Linked DNA regions of Mus musculus. The protein of the gene in region 1 interacts with the protein of each later gene in a pairwise test. Links are inferred from orthologs where the notes say so. Each region holds a gene or a part of one and is shown in the gene's direction. Other genes may lie near its edges. The genes, in order: Meox2, Fuca2, Unc45a, Trim42, Cib3, Csf2 and Chic2.

Region 1 (4,285 bases):
ACACTCCAAGTCCTGAACACCCTAGGCTACTGCAGACATCCCCTTGGCAGACACTTCCTAGATAGGAACAGGCTTTCCTGCAGCCCACTCTCCCAAGCTTGTTGTGGGTTAAGGACAGGACTTCCAGTAGATTCTGTGGCCGCCCAAGCTAATTGCTGTGTCAACCCCAGCCCCTGCTCTCACAAATTCACTGGTGGCAAGGTGTGCAGTTAGTTCATTTCCAGGAGCACAGGCTGTAAACCTGGGGGAAATGAACCATGATAGCAGGGTCCACGCTGAGGGAATGTTAAGTTTGCTATCTGCTTAAAACAGAAAGGTGGTGAGGAATGGAATGTATGCAAGGAGCATTAGCTCTGTGAGCTAAAGAGAGATTTCATTTCTCAAAGGATGGGAGCGGGCTGTGAATTGGCTCCTGCAGGGTTAAGCTAGCTAGGAAGGGTGAAGCTGGGAGCAAGTTAGACTTGCTCATTTGACATTTTTTCGGGTTATTCTTGACCCCCCCCCTCCCAATTTCCTCGGTGAGCAAATGGTGAGAAAATTTCGCGAACTGGACTGGTAAAGAGAAGTAGGGGTGGGAAGAGGGTCAGAAAAAGAAGGAAGGGGGACACCACTTGGAGCAACACTTGTGTGTCGCCAAGGCGCCAGAGCCTACATCCACCTCTGTGTCGCGCACACCCCATTGTATATCTGTCCTTTCTGCACTCAGAGTAGCACTGTGCTAGCCTTGGTGCACAGCTCTACAACCTCCGCCCTGGCTCTAGGTTTTCTAACAATCTATTCTCAGATACCTAAAAGAGAATAAACCTAATGTGTTTACGCTGGAACCGTGAGTGGCCTCTGAGTTTGAAAAGCTCGACAGACTAGGCTCTTCTTCTCTTGAAAGTTCTCTTGAAAGTTCTCTGTGGTCTGCAAAGTCAGGGAGTAGTCAGGGAGCTCCTGCAGGTGACCCCAACCCCCACCAAGGCTGAGAGATCTAGGTTCCAAGAGCAGTGAGCTACTCAGAGACACTGTGTGCTGGCTTAGGGAAGCTGAGTGCCTCTGCGTCTGGCCATGGGAACCTATGGGACAGATTGCGGTGGCCCGGAGCGACTGAGGCTCTGGGAGCACCACTAGCTGTGGTGGAAGCTCCCAGGGCCCGACGGGCGGGCGTTGGGCAGCGGCTCCTGTCCTGCCAGCAATGGGAACTGGAAATGAGAGAGCACGGTGGCGCTGACTGAGCGGGAGTTTTGGAGGGAGTTTGCATGTGGTCAGCGCTGGGCTCCTAAGCCAGCCCCCAGCTCACATTACACTCTATTTATAACCTCTCAGAGCCATTTCCCCCTGAAAGCAGTTCTCTGGGACCACCTTCTTTTGGCTTCCACCTCTCCCACACTTGACATCTGAGCAGCTGCGAAGGAAGCTCCTCCAGGTCCTAGTGTTTATACGTGCAGGAGACTGGCCGCTAAGGCTCAGGACTGGGATTAGCCGGCTCTGCTCAAATGCAAACGCGCGCGGCTTTTACTTTTGGAGTGAGTGGGGGAAAGTCTTAGGATTTCCAGTGAAAAGTGACAGCGCTTGGTGGACATTCGGACCGTCCGTGAAGTCTTCTGCTTGGAAGCCGAAACTTGCATGCCATGGAACACCCCCTCTTTGGCTGCCTGCGCAGCCCCCACGCCACAGCGCAAGGCTTGCACCCCTTCTCCCAGTCTTCTCTGGCCCTCCATGGAAGATCTGACCACATGTCCTACCCCGAACTCTCCACATCTTCCTCGTCTTGCATAATCGCGGGATACCCCAACGAGGAGGGCATGTTTGCCAGCCAGCATCACAGGGGGCACCACCACCACCACCACCATCACCATCACCACCACCAGCAGCAGCAGCACCAGGCTCTGCAAAGCAACTGGCACCTCCCGCAGATGTCCTCTCCACCAAGCGCGGCCCGGCACAGCCTGTGCCTGCAGCCTGATTCGGGAGGGCCCCCGGAGCTGGGAAGCAGCCCTCCGGTCCTGTGTTCCAACTCATCTAGCCTGGGCTCCAGCACCCCTACCGGGGCCGCGTGCGCACCAGGGGATTATGGCCGTCAAGCGCTGTCACCCGCAGACGTAGAGAAGAGAAGTGGCAGCAAAAGGAAAAGCGACAGCTCAGGTGAGTGCGGGCAAAGCAACCCTGGGGAGAGTGCGCTCTGGGCTAGGAAGATGCGGGGAGGTGTGGGATGTTTCTCATAGAAAGACAAACTGTGAAGCTGCTAGCCTTTCCTCGCTCTGGTGGGCGAGTTCATCCATGGAGCGTCCGTCCTGTAATTCAGGAGCACGTGTTTCACTGAAGTTAATATATCTACATCCAGCCGTTCAAAGCCCTCCAAGATCGCAAATCAGTTTTCCAGAAGTGGTGAAGAAAGAGCAAGTGACACTATGCAAAATCGGTTAAGGGAGCGTGGCGGGTCCCTCCACGGGTTGGGAGGGGTGTGCCCATTGGGATGCTGCATCCGCTGGGCATGCATGCCTGCGTGCGTGTGTGCGTGCATGCGGGTTTCCTTGACTTTTCCCTTCCAATTCCCAACTCTGAACAACTCGACTTTTCCTATCCTTAACTGGGTTTCCAAATTATTGCGCAATGCCTTGAACTTTAACTGGATTTGACCAAATACGAGAAAAAGAAAAGGAAAGAAAAGAAAAGAAAAGAAAAGAAAAGAAGAGGAGGAAAAGAAAAAAGGAAGAAAACGGAAAAGGAAAGAAAAAGATAAGGAAAAATTAAAGAAAGAAAAAGAACAGAAACCTAAAACTTTTTTTTTAATATTTTTGCTTTCAGAGTTCCTTAAATAGCACCTTTCTTAAAATGATATTTAAAAAACAAACAACCCCTCCCCAAACATTCTATTTATTTGGCGAAAAAGTAATTATCTAGTAATCTAGAAGTGTTTAAGGAATACCTCTGAAAACTTTGAATAAAGAGTATTCTTATAGTAATTACACTCATATGGTGCTAACCTGGTTTGGGGGGGGGGGGGGGACGGGGACGGGAAACAAGCAAAAAGTCCAAATCAACCAACCAACCAAAACAAAATGTTTGAACTTCGACTGTGGAAAATAAAAGCCTTCATCAATTGAGTAGTGCTTTGAGATGCAGTGGAGAAAGTGGACAGATAACAGTCCTGACAGTGCTGGAAGAAGATGCAGGGAAGGTGTGGGTAACTTGAGCAGTCCTACAAAAGGGGAGCCTCCCAGAAGAATTCAGGGGCCTGGAAGTCCAATAGCCAGTGCATCCTGACAGCACAGAGAAACTAAAAATTTCCAGGAAACACAACAAAGCCCTTAAATACATTCCTCATTGTAAATGTTCTCTCTCTCTCTCTCTCTCTCTCTCTCTCTCTCTCTCTCTCTCTCTCTCTCTCCTTCCTTCCTTCCTTCCTTCCTTCTTTCCTTTCTTTCTTTCCTTCTTTTTTTCTTTATTGAATCTTCTATGTAGTTACAAGGCAACCTGGATACAGATTTAGAAAGACGTCACTTAACTAGTAAAATGTTTACATATATTACGTTTTCTGTGCTAGTGTCTCGAGAGAACATATAATTCTAGGCAATAGTTTGAAGAATTGAAAAATAATAGCATTTTAAACATTTTAGGCAAGGTGTTCTGCAGTGTAGGGCAGTAAGGGCTGTGTATTTTGTAATGTGTTGAAAGATGATAGAAATTTTTCTTGACCTCGGTGTGGGGTGACTCCTTGCTTCCCAGCCTCACTATTGAACCTGTAATTTTTCAGGTCCTGGGTGAACGATTAATGATGCTTCATCATGATTAGTTATGTCTAAGAACTCGGTCATCGCTGTTATTCTGTTTACTGGTTATCTCTAACTGTATGTGAAATCCTAAGATACCAAAAAGGTTCCTAAGAAGGCATCAGAACGCACTGGGTTTCCCCAGATTGGGCATTTATGAGCAGAAATGCATGGATTGCTTTGGCAGGTTGCTATCTACTTCAGGGAGGACCAGAAGCTCGGATTCCGTGTTTTCTTTCCGCAAGGGGGAAACTGCGCTGCTTCTTAGCTGAACCAATGCCCTAAAGATTATTTGCGCACACGAAGGAATTTTTTTTTTTTTTCAGGCACAAGTTATTTTTGGTTGGGGAAACAGGGAGAGTGAGACTAAAAACTGACTTCCTTAGTTTATTTTAACAAAAATGGTTTTAATATTGACTAACACTGGTTTCCATCACTTTTATCAGGGGCAAATAAGCACATAGCAAAGAGAGGCTTGTTTTTGTGTTGTGAAACTCATTTAAACACCAAAACAAGCAACGAGAATAAAC
Region 2 (4,546 bases), on another chromosome or scaffold:
AGCTGTGCAGAAGAGGGAACCACAAGCAACAGTTACTTAGTGTCACTTCCGTCTTGGTTCATTCAGCAAGGAGAACTGCAGTACACTGACAACTCCAGAAAACACATTGTAAGTGTTGCTCTGTGCCAGGCTCTGCTGCCCTGAAAAGCATGGCACCCAGGAAGAGATTGTAAGTGTTCTTAAGGAACTCACAGTCTAAGGCGATTGGGATCTCTAGCCAGCCAACTCTGAAACCACCTGTGGACTCCTGTGTTAGTGGTTAGGATACGGTGTCCTATGGAGGCACTTGGGAGGAAGTGGGATGTTATTGGGGGAGGGGTGGTTATGGCACAGAGCATCCTGGAGGAGGTGGCATTTGAAATGTACCACAAAAGGATAAGGGTTTTGCCAAAGCGGAAGCAGTAGAGATTCCGGCTTTAGGCCAATGGCATTTAAATAACTTTAGGATACAGTTCCTGAAGATGTAACTTTGATGATTATTCTAAGTGACTGGCTCCTTTTCTTTAAGTCTACCTGAAGGTTCCTCTCTCTCTGTCTCTCTGTCTCTCTCTGTCTCTCTGTCTCTCTCTGTCTCTCTGTCTCTGTCTCCGTCTCTCTCTCTCTCTCTCTCTCTCTCTCTCTCTCTCTCTCTCTCACACACACACACACACAGCTCTAGGACATTTATTACTGAACTACGGCTCCCAGATCGTACTTTCATTCCCTCCCTCCTTTCCTCCCTCCAACCCTCCTTCCTCTCCTTTTTTTCCTTCCTGATTTTTGAGACAGCGTCTCATGTAGCTCTCTATGTAGTCGAAGATGACCTTGAACTCTGATTCTCCTGTTTCTGTTTCCACACTGCTGTGTTGACCACTACTCTGGTTTTATTGCATTCTAGGCAAGCACTCAGCCACCCCAGCAGGTTCCCAAACCCTCCTTCTATACAAACTTCTTAAACATTCATTCAACTAAGATTGCCTTATTTCCTAACGCAGTTTCTCAGAAAAGTTTGTTCCACCAACAACCAAAGTCAGAAATAACAAGAGCCTGAGTAGAAATGTAAAATCTTGGACCCGAACCCAGATTGGCTGAACCCAAACTTTGGGATTTCATCGGCTACAAATTCGAGGATGGCAGAGGCAGACCCAAAGGCTGAGAGCCATGGGAGCTTCCTCAAAAGCCCTGAGCAGCCCACGAAGTTCCTGTCTCAGGCTCCAGTCCCACGGTAGGGCAGACAGCTCTGACACATAAAGCCACCAGGGCCTGGTGGTCGAGGTGACCTCTTGAGAGTTTTCTGTTAGGAGTCCTTGGGGAGGGAGGTCGTGGGTCAAAGACCATCCTTTAGGTTTTTGTCTCACAGCAGACAAACCGGGCGTCTTGGCTAAGTAGATCAGATCTGACTGGGAAACAGAGCCAAGGGCTGTTAAAAATGAGGAGGGTGGGCAAAAACTGACTTCCTTGGTTGTGCACCTGAGTAATGCAACCTTCTTGGGGTCCTTAAGTAACCAGAGCTCATTAAAACTCCTGGCCACTCCCTACTCCAGATCACAGTAGTCATCTGACCAAACCGGTCTGGGTCAGGTGACAGGAGCAGGGTACACTTAGCAGAAGCCGGAAGGCCAGCGCTAGGCAGCTTCTGCGGCTGACAGAGAAGGTTCCCGGCTTCCCTGGTGACTGGCGGTTCCCCCGAGGATCCCAGGCTGGCGCGCATGCGCCTGGGGTTCCTGATGCTTCTGCCGCTGCTGCTGCTGCCGCTCCTGAGGCCTTGGGGGGTCACGAGAGCCCTTAGCTATGACCCCACTTGGGAATCTCTGGACAGACGCCCGCTGCCAGCCTGGTTCGACCAGGCCAAGTTCGGCATCTTTATCCACTGGGGAGTGTTCTCCGTGCCCAGCTTTGGTAGTGAATGGTTCTGGTAAGTGCATACCTTTGCCCAAAGGGCTCGGGCACGGACGCGGGCGCGCGCGCGCGCGGGCGCACACACACACACACACACACACACACACACACACTCACACTGGGCTTTATGTCACCCCAGACAGTGGCAGTCTCTGTCTCTCTCTGTCTCTGTCTGTCTCTGTCTCTGTCTGTCTCTGTCTCTGTCTGTCTCTCTCTCTCTGTCTCTCTCTCTCTGTCTCTCTGTCTCTCTCTCTCTCTCTCTCTCTCTCTCTCTCTCTCACACACACACACACACACACACACACACACACACAAACTCACACCGGAGTTCTTAGGCACTCTGCAGGTGGGCCTCCCTATAGCAGTGGCAATGCCTGCGTGATTGAGGGAGTACCAGTCCCAGAATTTGAAGAATTTTCAAAAGGGCTGGTGAAATTTCTCACTGGTTAAGGGCCCATACTGCTTGTGATTTGTATATGCTCGGCCCAGGGAGTGGCACTATTAGAAAGTGTGGCCGTGTTAGAATAGGTGTGTCACTGTGGGTGTGGGATTTAAGACCCTCATCCTAGCTACCTGGAAGCCAGTATTCTGCTAGCAGCCTTCAGATGAAGATGTAGAGCTCTCAGCTCCTCCTGTACCATGCAATGCTTTCTACCTTGATGATAATGAACAGAACCTCTGAACCTGTAAGCCAGCCCCAATTAAATGTTGTCCTTATAAGAGCTGCCCTGGTCATGATGTCTGTTCACAGCAGTAAGACTCTTAACTAAGACACTGCTCTTGTAGAGGACCTTAGTCTGACTCCTCACACCCGCCCTGGGAGGCTCACAACCATCTGGTCATTCTGGTTCCGGGGGGGGGGGTTCGTGCTCCCAAAGCCCCCCCCTCACATGCACACGCCTACACACACGCACACATGTAATTAAAAAGAAAATCAGAAAATTTACAATAAATGCTTCCTGGTTCAGCTATGACGTGAAGATCCTTGAATGCTAAAGCATCAAAAACCCAAAGCAGAGCAAAGGGGCAATAATAGAGATATATTACCCCACAGTATCTTCATAGTCACATGACGGTAGACAGGCAACACAAACTTGTTCACTCTTTAACTATCGCTAACCTGAAAGCCAGCTTCTCTCTTCACTAGGAGATCCCATTATCTGTCTGATCCACCAGCCAGCATGGGTTGCGGTGAGGGATGTTTCTGAAGTAGGCATGTGACTTTGGGTCTGATAGACGACAAGCTGCTTGCTGCCTGTGAGGGCTTTGAATCTAATCTCAGGCAGGCAAAGGCCGTGCCAACTGTGGGAACTGCCCGGCCCTTGGAAATGTTTCTCCCTATCTACCCAAAATGTTTTCTGTTACTGACTAGGACCGATGCAAGTTATGTTTTAGGTATGTCGTCTTGTCTTGAAATCTTAGCCACTTAAGTTCCACAGTGAGCTAGTGTGTGAAGGCAAAGATGATATCATGACTTAAAGTGGGGAATTTGGAGAATCGGTGGCTGGGTTACAGGAGGACTACACAAAGGAAAAGACAGAGAATATGGCCAGAGATTCAGTTTGCATAAGCTGTCCTTAATGCAAACCCACCAGGACAGAGAGAAGCGGAGAGAATCTGTGCATATTCTTCATACTAGGCTGGGTAAAGCCAGGAATTACTTTAAGCATCTGTGTTTGTGTGGTCATGTGCTCTTTCTTTTTTCTGCCACAGGTGGTATTGGCAAAAGGAGAAGAAACCCCAGTTTGTGGACTTTATGAACAATAATTATGCTCCTGGTTTTAAGTATGAAGATTTTGTAGTGCTATTTACAGCCAAGTATTTTAATGCAAACCAGTGGGCAGATATTCTCCAGGCCTCTGGTGCCAAATATGTGGTCTTCACTTCTAAACATCACGAAGGTAAGTAGGGCACATAGGATATATGCTGACAAGGGCTAGAAAATGTAAGGTCGTTCTTTTGGATGGAGACATTAAAGGAAGGCCGTCCTGTGAAACCCGGTTTCTCAGAATAGCCATAGGTGGATAGTGATGTTTCCGCTTAAGTTGGAAACATTATGGATCCAGACAGCTGGTTTCACAGAATGAGAGGAAAGATGGACACAATTTCTATGTACACATTTAACCATTTATGGTGGTTTGAATATGCTTAGCCCATGAGAAGAGGCACTATTAGGTGATGTGGCCTCTCTGGAGGAAGTGTGTTCCTGCTGGGGTGGACTTTGAGGTCATATGCCCAGTGCAGAGGAGTCCCGCCTGACTGTCTTTGGATGGAGATGTAGAACTCTGGACTCCTCCTGCACCATGCCTGCCTAGAAACTGCTGTGCTTCCTGTCCTGATGATAATGGACTGAACCTCTCTCTAACCTGTAAGCCAGCCCCAATGAAATGCTTTAAGTCTTGTCTTGGTCATGGTGTCTCTTCATAGCAATGAAACCCTAATTTAGACATCATTTAAATAAATAACTAGATTTATTTAAAGCTGGTTGAAGAGAATGAGTATAGTGAGTGAGTGAGTGAGTGAGTGAGTGAGTGTGTGTATACATACATATATAGTGAGTATAGTATAGTTGCACTTTCCTTTCTGTCCATCTGTCCATCTATATACATACATATATTATATAGTGAGTATAGTATAGTTGCACTTTCCTTTCTGTCCATCTGTCCAT
Region 3 (4,408 bases), on another chromosome or scaffold:
GAGCCAAAGGCCTCACATTTCCCAGCAGATGATAGGACCCAATCACTCTCATCTCTCCACAAGCTTATAATAGAGGAGTTTTCACCCCTGCAAATCTTGGGACTTTAATTTCAGCTTCCTTCTTGTCTGTAGCCAGGGCTTAGAACCCCTGTTGGATTCCTAGGACTACGACTGAGGTGGAGGCGACTTCTTATGGGCCTCCAGGGGAGAGGTCCAGGGCTCCTGCTGACAGGCCTGTGTGGGGGACTGCTTTTCAGTTGGATGAATCTTGCCCAGCCAACCGACCTCTCAGGTATAATACTTTCCCTATCCTCTGAGGGTGACTTGGGGTACGGGAGATCTGATGGTGAGGGGTGGAGAGAGCCTCCTCTTCTCTTCTCTTTGGGACTTGGACCCCATTTTGCACTTTGAGCAGGGTGAAGGGGATGTGGGTAACCTCCCTTCTCTATAGACGTCTTGCTTCTCTCCAGCCCTGGCTCACCACCCCCATTTGTGCCAGACTACACGGGATGCAGAAGGCGGCCACTACCCTGGTTTTTTCTGTCCGCGCCTCTCTGACACTCCCGAGGAAGCCTACTGTTGCCACCTGCAGGCTGCCGGGGGTTCCTGCTGTACCCTGGATGAATTTGAGGCCCTGTACCAAGTTAACTTGTCTTCGCTTCAGCCACCACCCATCCTCAGGTAAGAACTCTAGTCCCGGATTCGCAGAACACTGGCAGAGTGCTCCCGTGTCTTGGGCACTGTCCTTGAATTCTGCAGTGGGAGACTTGTAGCTTCCAGATTAGTGGAGAGGAAGTCACTAAATCATAATTACAACCAATGCTGTAAATGAAAACAAGTAACAGAAGCTGCTTTGTCTTAAGGGGTTTGGACGGTGTTAATAAAGAGGATTTGTTAATCTTGGACACATTGTAGTAGGAGGTTTAATTCTGAATCTGCCGCGTTTGTCTTCAAGGTACTTGCGAGCTCCCAGATTTGTATGCAAAATATGTGTATGCATCTGTATTTATCCCCTGCTCTCGTGGGACTCTGGGCTCTGCAAACCCTGACTTGTAGCAGCCAGTAGACAACCTTGAGTCTCTCCTGTCTCCCCAGGGGTCCAGGCCCGCTCCTAGCACTGGGCATCTACACTCTACTGCTGATGGCACTGATGACTACAGATTTCGTGCACTTCTGCCGTGGTCGGGGACGGAGAGAAAAACAAAACTCCAGCGGCTGCCGCCGCCTTTCCTTTAGAGCCTCTTCCGCGCGCCCTCTACAGGTTCCAGTGGGAACAGACTAGGCGCTCGTGAAGCAGCCCTGAGCCTGAGCCTGCGCCTGCGCAACGCGAGTACCCCGCCCTTGCACAGACCCAACCACTTCTTGGCCTCGCCTTGTTTAGCGTAACACTGACGCATTGCTGGGGCGGGGCAGTCGCCGGCATCTCGCGGATCCCAGGGACACCTTTGCTCTAAAGACTGCGCCTGCACTGGCTCTTGGAGCTTAGCTTCGTGATGACTGTGAGTGGCCCGGAGACCCCCGAGCCCCGACCTTCCGACCCCGGGGTGCGTACTGATTCTCCTGTGCCATCTCCCCTTTCACACATGCGCCTTCGCACCTGGTCGCCGTCACCTTATTCTAGCCCTTCACGGGACTCGGCCAAGACCCGGCTCTTCTCCCAGGCGCGCTGCTCTGCCCAACGCCTTTCTCTCTCTCTCTCTCTCTCTCTCTCTCTCTCTCTCTCTCTCTCTCTCTTCTCTCTCTCTCTCTCTCTCTCTCTCTCTTCTCTCTCTCTCTCTCTCTCTCTCTCTCTCTCTCTCTCTCTCTCTCTCTCTCTCTCTCCCTCTCTCTCTCTCTCTCTCTCTCTCTCTCTCTCTCTCTCTCTCTCTCTCTCTCTCTCTCTCTCTCTCTCTCTCTCCAGGCCAGCTCAGCCGAGCAGCTGCGGAAGGAGGGCAACGAGCTGTTCAAATGCGGGGATTACGAGGGCGCCCTGACCGCCTACACACAGGCCCTGAGTCTCGGCGCGACGCCCCAGGACCAGGCCATTTTGCACCGAAACAGGGCTGCTTGCCACCTCAAGCTGGTGAGGGGATCGGGTTGCTCTAACCTGGTTCTACCTGGGCCTGGGATTGCCCATAGCCGCTGCTGTTTGTGCACCAGTTGGGCATTTCCTAGCCACGCACGATTGCCAGAGGTCTTTAGGCGTGGGTAGTGGGGGATCAGGTGGTTCAGCAAAACAAGGGTGCCATTGCCACTCTCAGGCTCCTGATCTTTCTCTTACAGGAAGATTACAGCAAAGCAGAATCAGAGGCGTCTAAAGGTAGGGTGGGTGTGGGTCCTCATATGGAGCAATGGGGTCTTCTGTGGTGGGAAAGGACTCTGGGGCCACCGAGCCATCCCTTTCTCCTCCTCTGGACCCAGTCACTCGTCTTTCTACTTGCTTTCCCACTTCTTCGGCCTTTCCTTTTCTGCAGCCGCCCTCACCTTTTCTGAGGCTGAAGCACCGAGCTCCACATTCGTACCCCTATCTTCCTTTGGCCCTCGAGATCTATCCCTACTGCTCTTGCCTGGAGACGGTGGCCTCCTGGGTGCTGATAGAGTTCCTGTTTGTGCTCAGCCATTGAAAAGGACGGTGGGGATGTCAAAGCACTCTATCGCCGAAGCCAAGCCCTAGAGAAGCTGGGCCGCCTGGACCAGGCTGTCCTTGACCTGAAGAGATGTGTGAGCCTAGAACCCAAGAACAAAGTTTTCCAGGAGTCGCTGAGGAACATTGGGGGCCAGATTCAGGAGAAGGTATGTGAAGGTACCAAGAGAAGTTGGAGTTGCCTGGGTCTGGGACAAGGATGTAGACACAGTACTCCAGAGAGGAGCTACTGGTAACAAATACACATTAATTAATAATGCTCAGACTGATGGAGGAAATCAAGTTTAAAGCATGTTTTTTTCTGTGTATGTATAAGTTTGTCCTTGTATGTAAGTGGTGTGGGTGCGTGGACTCTTACGGTACCTGGCGAAGGTATGAAGTGATTTGGCTCTGTTAGGCTGTAGTGCTTTAGCATATCAAAGTTGTAAATGAATATCTGATGATCTAGTTAGCCCCTCTTGACCTTAGACTCACTACCTGCCCGAAGCTGGCCTTGAACCCCTGATTCTCTTGCTTCCAAAAACATTTTTAGTTTTACTTTTTTAAGACAGGGTTTCATGTAACCTAGGCTAGGCCTGGACTTGGCTGCGTAGCTGTGGATAGCCTTGACTTCCTGCCTACACCTCCCAAGGGCTGGAATTTCAGGCGTCTGACTTTTATTTCAGCCTTGTTTATAGTAAGAGAGACTTGGAACTTGCCTAAATGCCCAGCAATGAAGAGAAAAAAAAAACCTAAACAGACTAGGTCAGTGCTGTTTCTGAGAAATGGATCATATATGACTAGACGCGGGCTCTGCTGATTGGTAGATGGAAAAGCAAAATATGCGGTAATCTAAGTAGGAAAGTACTATGTTCATGAGGGAACGATCCAAACAGTGGAGCCTGTCTGAGAATATCTGGCTGAATCCGTGACAGTCCAATGAAAAATGTCAGTAAAGCTTGACATTAAAAGCCAGGTGGTAGCGCATGCCTTTAATCCTGGCACTCGAGAGGCAGAGGCAGGCGGACCTCTGGGTTAGAGGCCAGCAGGGTCTACAGAGTGAGTTCCAGGACAGCCAGGGCTATGCAGAGGAACCCTGTCACTAAATAAATAAAATAAAAATAAAAGCCTGTTAAGAATGCACATCAAGCCAGGGGTGGTGGTGCACACCTTTAATCCCAGAGGCAGAGAAAGGCAGGTCTCTGTGAGTTCGAGGCCAGCCTGATCTACACAGTGAGCTCTAGGACAGCCAGGACTGTTTCACAGAGAAACCCTGTCTTGAAAAAACAACAAAAAACAATGTCCACTAAAGGCCAGGCCTGGTGGTGAATACCTCTAATCACAGCACTCAGGAGCTGAATGAAGCAGACAGATCTTTGTGAGTTCAAGACCAGCCTGGGCTAATTTAAAAAGAAAGAAAAAAGTGTGTGTGTGTGTGTGTGTGTGTGTGTTGTGTTTATCAAAATGGTAACATTGGAAGAAAAGAATGGGGTTAAAGAGGTTTTCCAAGAAATACCTGTTTTAACGCGCACACACACACACACAGACACACATACACCAAAAAGAAGTGTTAGCAGCTACCTCAAAACCTTCCTGCCCTCTTTTGAACGACTGTCAAGCATAGCACCATAGTGGCATTTCTGTGCTGTTAACGCTGCTATAGTATGGCTGGCACTGCCTGGAGCTGGTTTCCTCATGGCTAACAAAATGCCTCCCATCTGAAGGCACTTCCTTTAGCATCAGCAGGCCCTCTTGCCCAAGCAGGACAGTTCAGAGAGGAAAACAGCCCAGGGGAAGTTTAGGAGG
Region 4 (4,269 bases), on another chromosome or scaffold:
AGACTTCCCCTGATTGATAGGGCGCTGTTTCTAGAGTTCCTGGGTGCACACTGGCCGAGTAGCTAATGATTCTGCACCTCTTGATAAATGAATGTGGTGGGGTGGGGTGGGGCTAGGGTAGGGTGAGATGGGGTGGGGTGGGGTGGTAGGGTAGGGTAGGGTAGGGTGGGGTGGGGTAGGGTAGGGTGGGGTGAGATGGGGTGGGGTGGGGTGGTAGGGTAGGGTAGGGTAGGGTGGGGTGGGGTGGGGTAGGGTAGGGTGGGGTGAGATGGGGTGGGGTGGGGTGGTAGGGTAGGGTAGGGTAGGGTGGGGTGGGGTAGGGTAGGGTGGGGTGAGATGGGGTGGGGTGGGGTGGTAGGGTAGGGTAGGGTAGGGTAGGGTGGGGTGAGATGGGGTGGGGTGGGGTGGTAGGGTAGGGTAGGGTAGGGTAGGGTGGGGTGGGGTAGGGTAGGGTGGGGTGAGATGGGATAGGGTAGGGTGGGGTGGGGTAGGGTGGGGTGGGGTAGGGTAGGGTGGGGTGGGGTGGGGTGGGGAGGGGTGGGGTGGTCTAGGGCAAGGGTACAGAGGAGAAGAAAACAAAGTCTGAGTCCTAAACCTGTGGACGACTTAAGCATAAAGCCTCGTGATCATGAACTCTGAAGGGACATGAGTGAGCCTGTGTCTCTGTCCCTTCAGCCCCTTTTCTGAATAGTGATGACCCTTTCACTGTGATGGCGCCATTATTTGTAAACATTGTGCTTTGCTGGTCAGAGTTCTGCTGACGGAAGAGGAACATGGTGTCAGTCTGTATGTCTAATTAGTCACACCCCGGTCTTTCAGTCAATAAAGACAAAACAAAAACCAAAAAAAAAAAAAAACCTGAATTCAAGTTACCCAAATAGCAGTAATAGTACCAACCAAGGAAAAACAGCATCTAAAATCCATGTGAGCACTTGAAACACAACAGATGGCCGCTAAAGCCTCCAAGAGCTCCGTGGTGCCACCACTCCTGTGACATCAGTCTCTTGAAAAACACCCAGTATGTATCCCAGCTACCACCCCTGGGTGCCCTCCTCTTACCTACTACTGAGCATGTGAAGACATGGTGGGAGTCAGGGATTATGACATAAGCAATGTCCACAGGCTGAAATAGGTAACGCCAGCTCAGAGGAGGACCACCACCTGTGAAGGCCTCATAAACTGGCCAACTTCCTGCCACAATTCCCAAACTGCCAGCCTCACGAGAGTGGGCAAGGGTCCCTTTGGGAGAGAAGTGGCCACAATAATCTGGTAGAGAACATTGTCAAAACTCTAGAGGCCTTGTACCAGAACTAGGAGCCATGGAGACGGCTATGTGTGTCTGTTCTCCCTGCTGTACCTGGCAGAGATGCTGCCCCCGGCTGTTCTCCTGCCTGTGCTGCAAGTTCATCTTCACCTCCGAGCGGAACTGCACCTGCTTCCCCTGCCCCTACAAGGATGAGCGGAACTGCCAGTTCTGCCACTGCACCTGTGCAGAGAACCCCAATTGCCACTGGTGCTGCTGCTCCTGGGCCAATGACCCCAACTGTAAGTGCTGCTGCACGGCCAGCACCAATCTGAAGTGCTACTACTACGAGAGCCACTGCTGCCGCAATGTTACCATCACATTCAGAAAGGGTCGCCTTCGAAGCATCGTCACCTCGTAAGTACTGCATGAGTGCTGGCCATCCGTCGTTTGGCTATGTTGGCTCAAAATAACTGGAGAACATGTGCCAGCTGTGGGTACCCCAGAACAGGCCAGTGCTTCCTAGAGTATACTCTACATGGGAAACAAAAAAACAAACAAACAAACAAACAAAAACAATGGTAATTTTGTAGCAGTTAAACAGCCAAGTTCCTTTACCGATGTGAATGCATGCTACATGTACCCTTTGACCCCAAGAGCTCTCACCTTGCAAACAAGTGATGGCCCTCAAGAAACTTTGCCAGCCACTGTTCATGTATCCATCCCTCTCCTCACTCTGTGCCAGCTGGACTCAGGAAAATATTTAGCTGGGAGATACTAAGTTGCCCAAGACTAAGCAGCTAGGAAGGGGGTAGAGTCATGACTTGAATCCAGAGCTAGGGCAAGGGTCCAAAATTTAAAAAAAAACAAAAAGTCATGACAAAATGGAGACCCTTATATGGTATAGGCTCCATAGCCTGTTAGATGATCTGAAAAATATAAACTGTTCTTCATCCCCTTCCTGTAAACTGCAGCATTTACCAGGTGAGTACGGACTTCTAGGAGCCGCTTTTGACCATAGGTAGCAACCTACAGAAGTACCCTGAGCTGACAGCCACCCTTTCTTTCCCCTCCAAAGTCATGACTGTCAGGTTCTCAGTCACTCAGTAAAGTGGCTACCCCACAGGCTAGCAAGCTGCTCTTTTTAAGTCACATGTCAGGGACATCAGGAGCCAGGGGAGATTTCACAGGGAAGGGAAGATCACAGCTAGTGCTTTAGAGTCGTAGACATCAGCAGCTCCCAAATTCAGAAGTGCATATAAATCCCCTGGGGACCTTTAAAAATAAACGCTCCTGCATGCTCTCCACACCTCAGCATTCTCTTTTCCATTGATCTTGGGGTACAACGTGGGCTTCAGAACTGTAAGAACTCGATCCCCATCCGGTGATTCTAACAGGGAGAACTGGAGTCATCAGCGTGGGACCTAGAGGCTTGGAAGGCAGATGTGAGAACGAGCAAGACTTAGCAGGGAGTGGGCTGTGCAGTGGAGCAGAGGCAGGGCAGGAAGGCAAGGCTGTGGGCCTTGGTGGCTGCTTTAGCATGGAAATCTGTGGGCAGCAGACACCCTGTTTGTACTTCAGTGCCAGGCAGTCAGCTCTAACGTACTGGTGCTTGCCTTCCAACCCCCCTCTCCTGGTCTCCAAACCCCTTCCCTCCCAATGCTGTTCAGTGGCCTCACTTTTTCTTCACTCTGGTCTAATCTAGCCTTCCTGGATTCATTCTTTTCCTCAGTCCCTTTCTCATAACTACTCCAGTTCCTCGGGCCATTAACAGAGTTCTCTTAGCCCTGCCCATTCTCCACACAGTATCTCCTTTCTCCCTCCTTCCCTCTTTCTGATCGCTTCTACTCCCTCCATGTATTATACACTGACTCCAAGTCTTACTTTTCTTATCAGAGAAACTCATCTAGGTACAACATGTACTCTTGACTTGTGACTTCAGGTGACCCTTCTGGTACTAAGCAAGAGGCTTGGACACAGAAAAGAAATAGGACCAAAAACAGTGAGGCTGTAAGCCTAGATCTCAGCATCCAAGACCCAGGGATAAGCCAGCTCTCAGGTTGCCTAAGGTTATGCGGAGACACTGTATCTCAGGGCCACCCTAGGAAGCTCCTTTGACTGTCAGTGATCTGAGGCATGGGTTCCTTGGCCAAGAAGGAGACAAAGAGAAAGAGAAATCAGAAAGGGAAGGGGTCAGAAGAGAACACTGCCCAATGTCAAGTCCAGGACCTTACTATGAACAGAAAGACTCGAGAATAGCCAAAGATAGTGCATCGGCTTGCATCTCCATTCCCACAGCAGAGTCGCTTCTTTCCTAAACTGCTTTTACTCTGATTGCAGCTTCTCATACCATGCACTTGAATTGCACAAGCATAGTCTCTTCATTTGTAGTTCTTGCCATTGAATCCATGAGGGTGACCTCCAGTAGACAAATAGAGACCCTTAACTCACAATAGTATAAGCACACATGGGCCTTCACGAGCTTGGCTACTGTTTCCTTCTCTTGCGGTTTCCTCCTCTACTGTGGACATTAGCCGGTGGATAGCGCAAGAGGGTGATTACAGGGACCATATTTACACTGGGGATGGATTATTTTCATTTACACTTTGTAAACCCCCAGGAAGGAAGTGCTGCAATCTTTGATTTACAGCTGGAGAAACTGAGCACAAAAGAGATTAAGACTCTCTAAATGGGTAACTCTAAATGTGCCATGCCCTGCCATATATAAATTGCCCAGAGGCAGACCCTTGTGTATTGCTGTTGATCTGGAAGTCAGTTCATGGCTTCTAGGATCAGCACAGAAATTGTCTCTTGCTGTCTTAGAAAAGTCATTTACTACCTTCCTCTGGCCCATCCCACACAGAACAGTAATAGTAATGTCACTGCCTTCCAGGCACAGCCACCAGAAGCATGCCTGTAATTGAGCTAGATTGGATTTATTGACTCATTTGCAACAAGGGGGAACATGTCCCACTCCACGTCAGTGTGAGGTACCCGACGGACTGGGGCTTGAGTTAGTGAGAATG
Region 5 (4,422 bases), on another chromosome or scaffold:
ACTTACACACACACACACACACACAAATGAATGAATGTATAAATGAGTGAATACATAAATAAATAAAGTCTCAGATACCCAAGCAACATGGCCTCAGAGATGAGTGTGAGCCCCTTTAGAGATCTTTATCCTCGTACCTATGAAGCTGTGTGTTCCTGAGGCAGTGTCTGGAACATCTGAGCTTCTGGTTCTTTCTTTTTTTGGGGGGGTGTTTTTTTGAGACAGGGTTTCTCTGTGTAGCCATGGCTGTCCTGGAACTCACTCTGTAGACCAGGTTGGCCCTCACTCAGAAATCCACTTGCCTCTGCCTCCCGAGTGCTGGGATTAAAGGCATGCGCCACCGCGCCTGGCTGGTTCTTTTTTTTATAAACTACGGATGCTGAGAAGATGACAGCAGTCATGACTGGTACTCTGAATGGATTTATTCAGATTGGTCTTTTTCACAGTCACAGATATTCCTCTAAGCAGAACAACCTCATTGTACAGATAGGTAAACTGAGGCACAAGGTGTTATTCAGCCTCTGCTTAGTGATGCATTGTTAGGTCTGCCAGTGTCCTCATTAAAGAAGGGACCCAGAAATGACTGGGACAGGGCCAAAGGGAAAGAGTAAAGGCTGAGGACAAGCTGGGCATGGTGGCGCACACCCTTGACTCCAGCACTTGGAAAGGCAGAGGCAGGTGGATTTCTGGGTTCCAGGCCAGCCTGGTCTACAGAGTGAGTTCCAGGACAGCCAGGGCTACACAGAGAAACCCTCGAAAAACTAAAAAAAAAAAAAAAAAAGAAGAAGGCTGAGGACAGAGGAGAGGAGGAGAAGGGAGGGGAGGGGAGGGGAAGAGAAGAGAGAGAAGAGAAGCGAAGAGAAGCGAAGCGAAGCGAAGCGAAGAGAAGAGAAGAGAAGAGAAGAGAAGAGAAGAGAAGAGAAGAGAAGAGAAGAGAAGAGAAAAGAGAAGAGGCAGAGAGGGAAGCAAGCATAGGAATCCTCCGCCTCCTGCCTCAGCCACAGTCACACACTGCCACATCCAATATGTCTGTCACCCTCAGACTGATCCTATAGATGGTAATGTAATTTCAATTTCACAAGCAAGGTTCAGAGAGGTCAGACAATTACTCAAGACCACACAGCTAGCAGGGGGGAAAAGCTAGGATGTAGACTGGGGTATGTGCATGGCTTTCCCTTGAAGGTGTTCCAGACAGAATGGCTTCTCTGTGACCTCTCACAGACCTCTTCCACACCTGTGGACACATTCAAAAGGTTGCCCAGAGAGCCAGGCTGTAACTTGAGCTTCACCAAGCTTGGGGCAACCAACTGGATAGGTGGGCAGGTGACAGCCAGGGCAGGAACATCTGCTCAAACATTATGAGCACGGGTGCTCCCGAGGAGCCACCTGTAATTTCAGTTCCAGTGTATTCAAGGCTGCAGTCTGCAGCATGGGCAACAAGCAGACTGTGTTTAGTCACGAGCAGCTGGAGGAATACCAGGTGGGTGTGTGCAGTGGATCCTGCCAGGCTGGCACAGCCCTGTTTGGGACATCAGGCTGTCTGTGTGGATTTGGAGTGTGTAGAGGGGCACAGGGAGAGATGACCCAGAGGCAGGTCTGGATCAAGCTGGTTTCTCTCCCCACAGGACTGTACTTTCTTCACGAGGAAGGAGATCATGAGGTCAGTGGGGGAATGAAGGGAGGTGACACCCCAAAACAACTTTCTAGTCACTGCTGGGCCTTTGTGCAATCTTTTTGCTATTGTTCTGTTTTGTTTGCTTGAGAATGAGCCCAGCCTAACCTCAACATTACCTCTGCCTCTTGGGTGCTGGGATCACAGGTATATGTCACTGTAGCTGGCTGCAATTAAAAAAAATATTATTGCAGGGGGGCGTGATGTGTGAGTGTGCAAATGTGTGAATATGTGATATAGTGTGTGTGTTGCAGTTAGATGACAATTTGCAGAGTTGATTTTTTTTTCTGCCCCCTTTAGGTGGGTTCTGGGACTAAATAGCTGGTCCAGCTTTCCAGTCTCTCTTTCCACCACATGAGTCTTAGGGGTCAAACCCAGGTCATCAGGCAGGTTGTTGCCATATTGGGTCCTCTTGGTTTTCCTTTTCTCTTTCTTTCCTCCTTCCTTTCTTCCTTTCTTTCACTGAGAGACAGGGTTTCTCTGTGTAGCCCTGGCTGTCCTAGAACTCCTTCTGTAAATCAGGCTCACTCTGAACACAGAAATCCACCTGCCTCTGCCTTGCAAGCCTGTACCACCATGCTTTGATGTGGGTGTTGCCTCAAGGTCAGTGGACTGAGGCAGAGACTGTTGGCTGAGAAGTCACACCCTGTCATACTGGCTGAGGTTTTGTACTGAGGAACTTGTCCTTTTACCTAAGGGTAGCAGGGAGCCACAGAAGGTGCGAGAGCCTTGGAGAGGCACACTGGCCCTTTGAGGTTGGGAGTCCACTGCAGAGCTGAGATCCAGCCCTCAGCTGTAAGTGGCAAGGAGATTGTGGGGGAGTATTGGCAGCCCTTGGGTGACTGCAGGTTCCTGGCTTGAGCCCAACAGGATGGACAGAGATGAAACTCCCATGACACCCTTCTGTCTGTTGGACCATTATCTGTGAAACCCAAGCTGGCTGCGGTTCAGCTGTGGGGCATCAGGTCGAGTCCCTCTTATGTGGGTACAGGGCATCCATTATTGATGGGTACACCTCTCACCCATCAGCCCATTGTCTGTGAGGACTACTGGAAGGTCACTTTGGCCATCACGATCAGATTACTGGTGGGGAAACTGAGGCTTGGGCAAGGAGAACTTCAGTTCCCAGGGCAGATGGACAGAGTCCTGACTGGCCCAGGCTTCCAGATTGTTAAACAGAGTAACCAAGGTTGGGAGGAGAGAGGAACTCACTGAATGGCACAAAGAGAGACAAACTGTGGGTCCTCAATATGGCTCAACAAGCAAAGATGCTTGCTGCCACACCTGAGGATCAGAGTTCAAATCCCAGAACCCATATAGTAGAAGAGAATCCACTTCCACAAGTTGTCCTCTGACTTTGACACCTGTGCTATAGCATGCACACATATACACACAAATAAGTACATAACTATAAAAATATTTTTAAAGGAAAGATAAACACTCAGGGCATTCCTCCACAGGACTCCTGACAAGGGGAGGGGATTTTTAGAACTGAGCCTCCTCTCCAGCTATTCTCAGGTATGTAGTCATGAGAAAACCCAGGGATATCCTTGCCTGAGATAGTTCCTAGCAGCTTGCAGACATCAGGGGTATCAAAGATGGTCTCTTGGAGGCAGGTGAGGAGTGTGTATGGAAAGGTTGTATGTGTGCTGGCCAGTGTTTTGTATGTTACCTTAAAAAAATCCAGCCAGAAGCAGCACAAGCCCATCACCCCCAACACTTGGGGAGCAGACGCATTAGGAATAGGAGCGTTAGTGGCTTGTCTGTCCCCTGCCCCATTGGAGGAAGCCTGCCTCCTAGTGTAGACACAGCAAAGGAAGTGGTGGCTCAGAGGGGAGGAGCAGTAGAAGCAGGATCCTGTGAGGTGATGATGGAGTGTATAGGTTATATATCCAGGTCCCTCAAACACTAGCTGTGGAATGATCAACCATTAACACCTCTTTCTTCAAGCTCCATCTTCCTGGTGAACTCCTACTTCTAAGCCCAGTACCAGTGTCCCTTCCTCCAGGAAGCTCTTCCTCCTTGCCTGGTTTCTACTTCCTTGCTCTACATTGGCCTTGTCTGTGAGGAGGGAAACAGGGGTAGCTCTTTCTGGCTCGGTGCACTCAAGATTCAGACTCATGCATGAGGCTTCTGGGGACCAGCATTTGACCTTGTAGAGCGAGTACTGTTAACACACAAGAAGAGGGTCAAATCCCTTCTGCTTCTTGGTCCCAGCCTTTCCCGGTTTCTCTTTCCTCATACCAGGCTGTTCTATCGATACCAGGACCTGGCCCCTCAGTTGGTGCCTCTTGACTACACGACCAGTCCCAAGGTGAAGGTGCCCTATGAACTGATTGGCAGCATGCCAGAGCTGAAGGTAATCCTGGGCTGTGGACAAAGAGCAGAAGCAGACTGAAAATGTCTTTACTGCTTTCCTATGTGGTCATGGGTACCTCCATCTTACAGAAAACTGGGGCTCCAAGAGGCACACATAGGAAGGACAAGGTTAAAGGGCACTCATGGGCTAGGGCATGGTGGGACTCAGACCTCTTGCAGAGGCAAGCAAGTCTCTAAGTTTGAAGTTAGTCTGGGCTGTAGGTAGATCAGAAAGACACAGAGGCAGAGGCAGGCAGATCTGAGTTCAAGGCCAGCCTGGTCTACAGAACAAATTCCAGGGCAGTCAGGGCTACACTGAGAAACCATGTCTTGAATCCACACACACAAAAGTTGTATTTCACTCTGCTGAGGTTCATCACACAAGGTTCACA
Region 6 (4,444 bases), on another chromosome or scaffold:
CAATCTAGGAATGCCTGCCCGTGTCACCGCCTCCACCCTGATGTCATCTTTCTAGGAGAAAGATACATATCTACCCACAAACTGCATCCCCAAGCCCTTAGAATCCTGCCCCATAAGTGACAACTTTGGCACCTGTAGACCATATCCTTGACGTGAGTCTTGACTCTGGGGCCTCTGCTTTCCTCTTAGCCACCACCCTGCCACACGCTTGGGCTAAGACGAATGCCTTTAGTTCTTCAACATGGCCATTCTGGCCCCCCAGTCTCTCTTTCTACATGATTCCTGTGGTCTTGTCCTGAGTTCCACCTGTTATCTGACCCTCGAAAGCCCTCACTTCTGTCTGGTTTCATCAGTCCACTGAATCAGCTTCTTGGGCCCTAAAGCATGTTTCTTGGCTAGGGGCCCCCTCTCATATCAAGAGGGCACCGCCAGAAGCCCAAGGGTTCTCACAAAGCAGGCAAAACAAGTGTGGCTCATGTTAGATGCACCCTTATGTAAAACCTCCTCCACCTTGACATGTTCCTATGAGTACATATATATCCAACACCACCAGCATACACACATGACTGAAGAGATACACATATGTATCCCCATGGTCTCAAACTTCCTGTATAGGAAGGCTTGGGCCAGATCCCTTGGGCAAACACAAACTCGTGCCGTCTTCTCCAAAAGCCATTGTGAAAATCAAACACTTGTTAGCCCCTTGAGACCATGCTGCCTTTCCAGAAGCAGTTCCTGATTCCACAGAGAGCTTCTGGAGAGGGAGGTGGGCTGGAGCAAGGGGCTGTGCAACAGACTAAGCCTGGGAGAACTTGCCAGGGAAGCGGGGGTTGGGGCGCACGTGTGTGTGTGTGTGTGTGTGTGTGTGTGCGCGCGCGTGTGCGTGTGTGCGTGCCTGGTTATTGTGTTACAGCTAGTTACTATGTTACAGCCAGCCTCAGAGACCCAGGTATCCCATAATGGTACAGATAGCAGTAATGTGTCCTTTTTGAATGGCAGGCTGCTCTGAAGAGGGTAAAGAGGCTCACATAACTCAAAGGAAGAGTCGCTTGGCAAAGGGGGAGGGCAGAATCAGCAGTCAAATGGGAGTAGCCTTACCTGCCCCAGCCAGAAGCTCTAGCCATGCTGTGAATTTTTAGGATTGAACATGCCTTTGTAACTGGGATTGTAGCAGTCAGTTGGGATGGTATCATAAGAGAACATGGTATAGTCTGCCTGGCTTCTATACCCATTGCTGTCATTCTCACTGCTCCCAAGGTGGCAGGGGTGGGGCTTGGCTGGGCAGAGTTTGCCCAGAATGGTCTCCTCAGTGGGAGTCTGTGGAGACCATTATAGAATTGTGTCATTGGGCTGGACCTTATTTAATTAGATAATGAGGTGGACTTGTGAGAAGTGTATATCTCAGAAGGTGGCTGGAAAGAGAACGGGCCAGGACTGGGGCTGGAATGAGCCACCAGAGTAGGTAGAGCTTGCCCAAAGGCCTCCAGGAACAGCAGGTGCTATGGAAGCAAGAGCCCCACTCAGTATCTCCCAAACCCCGCCCCAGCCACTCCAGGCCAGGAAATCCAAATATGCCTGGAGGCCCCTCAAAAAGGAGAGGCTAGCCAGAGGCTGGGTCAGACTGCCCAGGCAGGGTGGGAAAGGCCTTTAAAGCAGCCCGCAGGTGGGCTGCCAGTTCTTGGAAGGGCTTATTAATGAAAACCCCCCAAGCCTGACAACCTGGGGGAAGGCTCACTGGCCCCATGTATAGCTGATAAGGGCCAGGAGATTCCACAACTCAGGTAGTTCCCCCGCCCCCCTGGAGTTCTGTGGTCACCATTAATCATTTCCTCTAACTGTGTATATAAGAGCTCTTTTGCAGTGAGCCCAGTACTCAGAGAGAAAGGCTAAGGTCCTGAGGAGGATGTGGCTGCAGAATTTACTTTTCCTGGGCATTGTGGTCTACAGCCTCTCAGCACCCACCCGCTCACCCATCACTGTCACCCGGCCTTGGAAGCATGTAGAGGCCATCAAAGAAGCCCTGAACCTCCTGGATGACATGCCTGTCACGTTGGTGAGTGAGGGAGAGAGTTGGGTTGTTCCCAGGCCACCCATTGGCCCTTGTCTTGCCCTGCCTTTCAGCTTGGTAACACGGCACTTCCTTTTTACAGAATGAAGAGGTAGAAGTCGTCTCTAACGAGTTCTCCTTCAAGGTAAGCTGCTTCTCTTTTGCTCTTCTCTTTTGGTGTAGCTTCCCGGGTTGCCCTGCAGGGCTGCTTTAAATAGCCTCTTGCAAGGCTTTCTACACTCTTCCCTGCCAGTGGCTGCCAGCGGGAGGGGGCAGAATCTGGGTAGTCAAGATCTCTATATCCATTCCTCTGTAGCAGTCACGTGCACTCTTTTATCGTCCAGAGCCATGCCCCTGTGGCAGTCATGTGCACTCTTTTTATCAAGTGAGCAATAAGTTTGGGCAGAGCTAGCTTTCAAAGGTCAGAGGTCTTCAGGGATTGATGGGAGCATGAGAGTCACTTTATGAGTTGGCCTTGTTGCCTTCAAGTTCTCTCTGTGCCCCGTGACCATGGAGAGAAGGTATTGATTATACAGGGGCACAGAGGGTATTGATTATACAGGGCACAGAGGGGCTTTTGAAATAGTGCTTCCCCACACAGAAGTTTGGGCTCTGGCCATCTCCTTCTTCTAGAATGGCAGCAAGTAGCCTTTGCTTACAAATTTTTTTTTTGGGGGGGGGACAGCACTTGGAACTGGGAACCTCTATGGTACCAGACTATAAACATGGCTGTGGTAGCTGAGGTGGCCTGGACCAGGCAAGAAGAAGGGCAGTGCTCAGGACAGTGTTATGACTAGCCCCAACCTGTACCACTTGGTGGGAGCAGAAGGGAGTAGGGAGAAGTTAGCTTGTATTCTATGGACACTTGGCTTTTGCTTATCAACAAATGGATGCTTCCCACAGAAGCTAACATGTGTGCAGACCCGCCTGAAGATATTCGAGCAGGGTCTACGGGGCAATTTCACCAAACTCAAGGGCGCCTTGAACATGACAGCCAGCTACTACCAGACATACTGCCCCCCAACTCCGGTGAGTACACAGCATCAGGGCCCCAGGTCTTAGTCTGGGAGGGTGCGGCCAGTAAGGAGAGACTTCTGGCTGTAGCTGTTCAGGGCCCCAGTAAGTGGTTTCTGTATTGTTAGATGTTTCCTAGGAGCCCCCCAAGAACAGGCCATAGCTCCTATTCATCCCTAGACCCTAAGCTGAGAAACAGCAGAGAGCCCACTGCTCTTCCTAGGAGGAACCATCTGCCCATGTCACACATGCCATTGTCAGTCATGAGGTCAGAGGTGAGGCAAACCCAAGGAAGCTCAGGGCCTGCCCAAGCCCAGGAGAGCCAAGAGCCAGCACCCAGATGCCACTTCCTGGCAGGACTTTCCTGTAAGGATGCCTGTATTCCATGGATACAAGGAGGAGGCTCCTAGAATGGGCAGACACCCCAAACATTCCTATTTCCTTTCCTCATCAAAGACAGTGAGCCTTGTGTCTTTTTAGAGGTGAGGAGATGCCTCAGGCTGGTTGCTTGCTTCTCGGTGGGAACCAAAGAGGCAGACCTGAGACAGTCCTTCTGTAAGGGCACAGTCCCTGGGTGCCATTGGCAGAGCTGTGCATGCCTTAGGCAGCACACGGGCAGCTATAGTGTCACCTGATCCTTACAAATGGGCTTCTGGCCTCTGAGTTCTCAGCAGCGAGAGAGAAATACACAGTTCTTTCCCCACGTGGCCCACTTACCTGGACTCAAGTGCTGTTTATTTTTTTCCATTCCCTCCAGGAAACGGACTGTGAAACACAAGTTACCACCTATGCGGATTTCATAGACAGCCTTAAAACCTTTCTGACTGATATCCCCTTTGAATGCAAAAAACCAGGCCAAAAATGAGGAAGCCCAGGCCAGCTCTGAATCCAGCTTCTCAGACTGCTGCTTTTGTGCCTGCGTAATGAGCCAGGAACTTGGAATTTCTGCCTTAAAGGGACCAAGAGATGTGGCACAGCCACAGTTGGAAGGCAGTATAGCCCTCTGAAAACGCTGACTCAGCTTGGACAGCGGAAGACAAACGAGAGATATTTTCTACTGATAGGGACCATTATATTTATTTATATATTTATATTTTTTAAATATTTATTTATTTATTTATTTATTTTTGCAACTCTATTTATTGAGAATGTCTTACCAGAATAATAAATTATTAAAACTTTTGTTTGTATAGTTATCTGGTTTATTTTGAAAGGGGAGAAATTTGGGCATAGGTGGAGTGGGGGAGCTATTGGGATATGGTATTGATGAGAGTCAATGCTGTCATGGCCAAAGGGAGGTGAAATCAAGGCCTGGGTCCAACATCAGCCTGGGTGGGGGATCTCACAAGCCTTGGTGGAACTTCTGGGGTGCTCAAGAGCATC
Region 7 (3,771 bases), on another chromosome or scaffold:
AGACAAAATGCAGTAGGAATTCAAAACAGTGAAAGCTAGAAAATTTGCTATTTGATTAATATATTATGCTTTGATACTGTGGTAGCTCATGAAATAAACCGTCTTTTTTACTTACATACTGTTGGTTATTTAACATTGTGCTTCATGCTTCATCATTCTATAAAAGTTTTGGTTCTACTGGGAAACTCTTTCTATGCTAATTTTGTAAGTTGCTCATTGTGATTATCTTAATGAGCAACTTACAAAAGGTATCTTAGACCTTCACTCTGTCTCCGACACTCTCTGAGGGATCCATGTTCTGTTCACACCACCTTTAAGTTAGATAGTTTAAGCATCTGTGATGTTGGCACAGTGACATATAATAACATATTTTTTCCTTTTTGAAAACAGATTTGGACTGAGCAACAAATTTGAATCAGAATTCCCTTCTTCATTAACTGGAAAAGTGAGTGTCTCTCTTATTGTTATTAATCTACTGTTTCTATATCTCAAATTATTTTCTCATAGAAATGAGTAAATGTGTGCTGAGACCCATTTATTGTCACTCAGCATCTCAGTGTTACGTTTCTTCCCTTCCTGTAGGTAGCTCCTGAAGAATTTAAAGCCAGCATCAACAGAGTTAACAGCTGTCTCAGGAAGAATCTTCCTGTTAATGTGCGGTGGTTGCTTTGTGGCTGCCTGTGCTGCTGCTGCACGTTAGGGTGCAGTATGTGGCCAGTTATTTGCCTCAGTAAAAGAGTAAGTTGAATTATGTCTTTTAATTTACATTTAGAAGTGTGAAACAAGTCTTACTTTTACCTTTTTTTTTTCTGTTTAATGAACCACACTGTTCTGAATGCTATATAGAAGTAATCTGATATAGTAAAGCAAGATTAATTAAATCATATATTCAAATATTATAAAACAGCTGTGTAACAGTCGTCATAATTTTTATACATTAGGAAATTATAGTCAAAAGGTGCAGCCCTATGTCTGTATGCATTAATTATGGACTAGAATGGTACTGTATATTTCTGTGCCCATGGACATACTTCTGAACCTCTTTAAATCTGATTGATACAGCTATAAAATAATAATATTCACCTGTGATTTGAATAGAATTGTTGTAAGGATACAGTAAAATAGTATTTATAAAGCTCTTAGCTGAACAGCTTATGAGAAATTCTGTCAGCTTCAATGCTGTTTTAAGTATAAGAGAGACAGTTTAAAGGAAGAACTGTGTACTTTGGCTCATGGTTTTAGAGATTTTAGTCATGGACTGTTACGCTGGCTCCATTACTTCTGTGCCTGACCATGCAAAACCATCATGATGGCTGAGTAGAGCTGCATGCCTCATAGTCATCAGGCGTCAGAGAGGGAAGGAGGAGATTGGAACAAGATGTAGCCCCTGAGAACAGAGTCCTTCCTACCCATTCCTCTAGATCCTATGTCTAGACATTTGAACCACTTTCCAATATGCCTTCATGTTAGGAATCTATGAGTGATTTAGTCTGTTGAGTAGGTTGTATTCCTTGTAATCCAGATCATCTTGCAGTCCACAGTCTCCCAAGCTCTACTGTCAACTGAGCTATCGCACAGCTCTCCTCTTACTTTTAAATGACATTGGTGTACGTCAGTGTCTCCTGTGCACTCACGTTCAGTACCTGAGTCTCTGTGGTCTATCCTGTCAGAGTTCCTGGAAGTAGTTACAGAGGCTAGTGGTCCTGGTTCTCTGCAAGAGCAGCCAGTACTCCCAACTCACCTCTCCATCCCCTAACATACAAGCTTTTGGAGGGAGTCCTTCAAATCTAACCCATAACAGAAGTTGTCAATAAGGAGTGACTAATATTATTACTAGTACTATGAGAGTACCCATGGAGGAGATAAAATGCTTACAGGAAAATAATATGGGTTATTTTATTTTTGTACTTTACAGTTTCTCTATAATGAATATACACTGACTCTGATTAGGAAAAATCATTGGAAGACCTAATTTTCATTGCTTATAATGAAAAAGTTCCAAGATGTTAGTTATAGATATGCCAAAATGATACAAATCAAAAGTTGGTTGGGTGGTTTTTGTTTTGTTTTGTTTTTGAAGACATTGTTTTACTCCTTGGATTTGACTGGCTTGAAACTCACTTCAGGTTAGTCTTGAACTAAGAGATCTGCCTGCCTCTGCCTCCCAAATGCTCCAGGCCACCATGCCTAACACATCACCATTGTTTTTGTTATCTTAACTATTATACTTACACGTGTGAAGTTGATGTAATATTCAGCCATGTATGGTAACTCAGGTATGAAATCCTAACACTCAGGCTGAGACAGGAGGATTGTGAATTTGCTACATAGTAAGTTAAGGCCAGCCTGGAAAACCAAAGGAGGGGGGCAGGTGTCAACCAATTTGGCTTGAATGTTTTTCTGTGGAAACATTTAATTTTTGTGCTAGATAATGGCGAGGAAATGAAGGAAATCACATTTAATTTGTTACTTGACTTCTATTATAGAGTTAGAGGTATATTTTACTGAAAATTTTTGAGCTGATTTATTGCTAGAAAGGAAATGATGCTTTCATAATAGAGTTGTATATTATTTTTTATAATATTTAAAATACTTATATTTCTCATAAACTATTTTATTATTTGTGTGTTGAACATGGGAGGTGCAGGTACCGCCAGAAGTGTTTAAAGGCCAGGGGACAACACTGTGCAGTCAGTTCTCTTCTGCCGTTGAGTGGGTTTCGGGTGGATCTCAGGTCATTGAGCTTGTGCAGCGGAAGGGTTTTTTTTTTTTTTTTTTTTGCTGGCCCTACTTTCTTAGAGATTTTTTTACCCCCCTAATTCTTGCCAGATTGCCTCTAGGCCACAAAAAAACTGTCTGGCAGTGTTTGGATTCACAGTTGTATTTTCTGATTTTCTTTAGGCTCTGTCTCTCACTGCCTTCCTCATTTCAGGCCTTGCTGTTGTCTGAGTGGCTGTCCAGGTCATATGGTTACGGTGGTGGGCTTTGTTTGTTGGATCTGGCCTTGATTTTCAGATCTGATCTTATCTTTTCCCTCCCTCCCTCCTTCCCTCCCTCCCTCCCTCCCTCCCTCCCTCTCTCCCTCTCTTTCTCCCTTTCTCCCTCCCTCTTTCCTCCCTTCTTTTACTTTTTAAATGAGTAATACAAGAGATTTTAATATGTGGATGCTATATTTAAAAAACAAAAGTGAAACCTTATAGTTCTCTATACATTTCCTGCCTTGAGTATAACTTCTCTGTACCATGTCATGAATGTATGGAGAGTACTAGAACACCTTTGTAAGATGGGAGACAAGATAGCAGGGATTTCCAACCCTCATTGTCATGGACCACTCTGCTAGTCTAATAATGCTAGAGCCTATAAATACTATTTTAGTATAACATTTAATTATTCTAAATACTACATTAATCAATATTTTAGATTACAAAACCCCAATTATATATCAAACAACTAAAATAAGGAACTGGAAAGTATTTGAAGATGTGAGAAAATGCTGTTCAGTGACTGCAATGACAACATTCTGGTAATGTGCAAGCTGCGAGGGCTTCACTAAGAACTAGGAAAGGAGGATGTCATAAAAGAAGACAAAGGCCACAGTATACTCCAGGCCCATCCACACTGGATGTCCCATTTACCTATCTGTTCTCCTCATAACAAGACTCAGGGAGAATCCAACCAAGTGACGACCCCCTTAGAGCAGAAGCAGCCAGTCAGTCGGATCTCAGATCCTTGGGGTTTGGAGGGGAAATGATAGGGTTAAAACTAGTGCTA

The links.
Region 2: the proteins of Meox2 (region 1) and Fuca2 interact in binary tests that used the Homo sapiens proteins (3 or more experiments, as listed by UniProt). The two-hybrid records come from large-scale screens. The link is inferred for Mus musculus from reciprocal best matches to the Homo sapiens genes MEOX2 and FUCA2.
Region 3: the proteins of Meox2 (region 1) and Unc45a interact in binary tests that used the Homo sapiens proteins (3 or more experiments, as listed by UniProt). The two-hybrid records come from large-scale screens. The link is inferred for Mus musculus from reciprocal best matches to the Homo sapiens genes MEOX2 and UNC45A.
Region 4: the proteins of Meox2 (region 1) and Trim42 interact in binary tests that used the Homo sapiens proteins (3 or more experiments, as listed by UniProt). The two-hybrid records come from large-scale screens. The link is inferred for Mus musculus from reciprocal best matches to the Homo sapiens genes MEOX2 and TRIM42.
Region 5: the proteins of Meox2 (region 1) and Cib3 interact in binary tests that used the Homo sapiens proteins (3 or more experiments, as listed by UniProt). The two-hybrid records come from large-scale screens. The link is inferred for Mus musculus from reciprocal best matches to the Homo sapiens genes MEOX2 and CIB3.
Region 6: the proteins of Meox2 (region 1) and Csf2 interact in binary tests that used the Homo sapiens proteins (3 or more experiments, as listed by UniProt). The two-hybrid records come from large-scale screens. The link is inferred for Mus musculus from reciprocal best matches to the Homo sapiens genes MEOX2 and CSF2.
Region 7: the proteins of Meox2 (region 1) and Chic2 interact in binary tests that used the Homo sapiens proteins (3 or more experiments, as listed by UniProt). The two-hybrid records come from large-scale screens. The link is inferred for Mus musculus from reciprocal best matches to the Homo sapiens genes MEOX2 and CHIC2.

What each region holds. Positions count from the first base shown.
Region 1 is NC_000078.6:37,107,218-37,111,502, forward strand, and holds the start of Meox2 (homeobox protein MOX-2), read left to right. Parts: upstream 1-1,322; 5' UTR 1,323-1,613; coding exon 1,614-2,127; intron 2,128-4,285. UniProt on the Homo sapiens protein: Mesodermal transcription factor that plays a key role in somitogenesis and somitogenesis and limb muscle differentiation. Required during limb development for normal appendicular muscle formation and for the normal regulation of myogenic genes.
Region 2 is NC_000076.6:13,499,480-13,504,025, forward strand, and holds the start of Fuca2 (plasma alpha-L-fucosidase precursor), read left to right. Parts: upstream 1-1,548; 5' UTR 1,549-1,688; coding exon 1,689-1,894; intron 1,895-3,591; coding exon 3,592-3,779; intron 3,780-4,546. UniProt on the Homo sapiens protein: Alpha-L-fucosidase is responsible for hydrolyzing the alpha-1,6-linked fucose joined to the reducing-end N-acetylglucosamine of the carbohydrate moieties of glycoproteins.
Region 3 is NC_000073.6:80,337,205-80,341,612, reverse strand, and holds the start of Unc45a (protein unc-45 homolog A), read left to right. Parts: upstream 1-1,393; 5' UTR 1,394-1,493; coding exon 1,494-1,544; intron 1,545-1,900; coding exon 1,901-2,062; intron 2,063-2,262; coding exon 2,263-2,299; intron 2,300-2,453; exon of another isoform or gene 2,454-2,596; coding exon 2,597-2,772; intron 2,773-4,408.
Region 4 is NC_000075.6:97,366,895-97,371,163, reverse strand, and holds the start of Trim42 (tripartite motif-containing protein 42), read left to right. Parts: upstream 1-1,205; 5' UTR 1,206-1,319; coding exon 1,320-1,660; intron 1,661-4,269.
Region 5 is NC_000074.6:72,209,982-72,214,403, reverse strand, and holds the start of Cib3 (calcium and integrin-binding family member 3), read left to right. Parts: upstream 1-1,566; 5' UTR 1,567-1,625; coding exon of another isoform or gene 1,626-1,655; coding exon 1,656-1,660; intron 1,661-3,919; coding exon 3,920-4,031; intron 4,032-4,422. UniProt on the Homo sapiens protein: Acts a an auxiliary subunit of the sensory mechanoelectrical transduction (MET) channel in hair cells. Plays a role in regulating hair cell MET channel localization and function.
Region 6 is NC_000077.6:54,247,070-54,251,513, reverse strand, and holds Csf2 (granulocyte-macrophage colony-stimulating factor precursor), read left to right. Parts: upstream 1-1,614; 5' UTR 1,615-1,903; coding exon 1,904-2,053; intron 2,054-2,150; coding exon 2,151-2,192; intron 2,193-2,206; exon of another isoform or gene 2,207-2,511; coding exon of another isoform or gene 2,512-2,568; intron 2,569-2,950; coding exon 2,951-3,076; intron 3,077-3,818; coding exon 3,819-3,926; 3' UTR 3,927-4,244; downstream 4,245-4,444. UniProt on the Homo sapiens protein: Cytokine that stimulates the growth and differentiation of hematopoietic precursor cells from various lineages, including granulocytes, macrophages, eosinophils and erythrocytes.
Region 7 is NC_000071.6:75,024,035-75,027,805, reverse strand, and holds part of Chic2 (cysteine-rich hydrophobic domain-containing protein 2), read left to right. Parts: intron 1-390; coding exon 391-445; intron 446-582; coding exon 583-738; intron 739-3,771.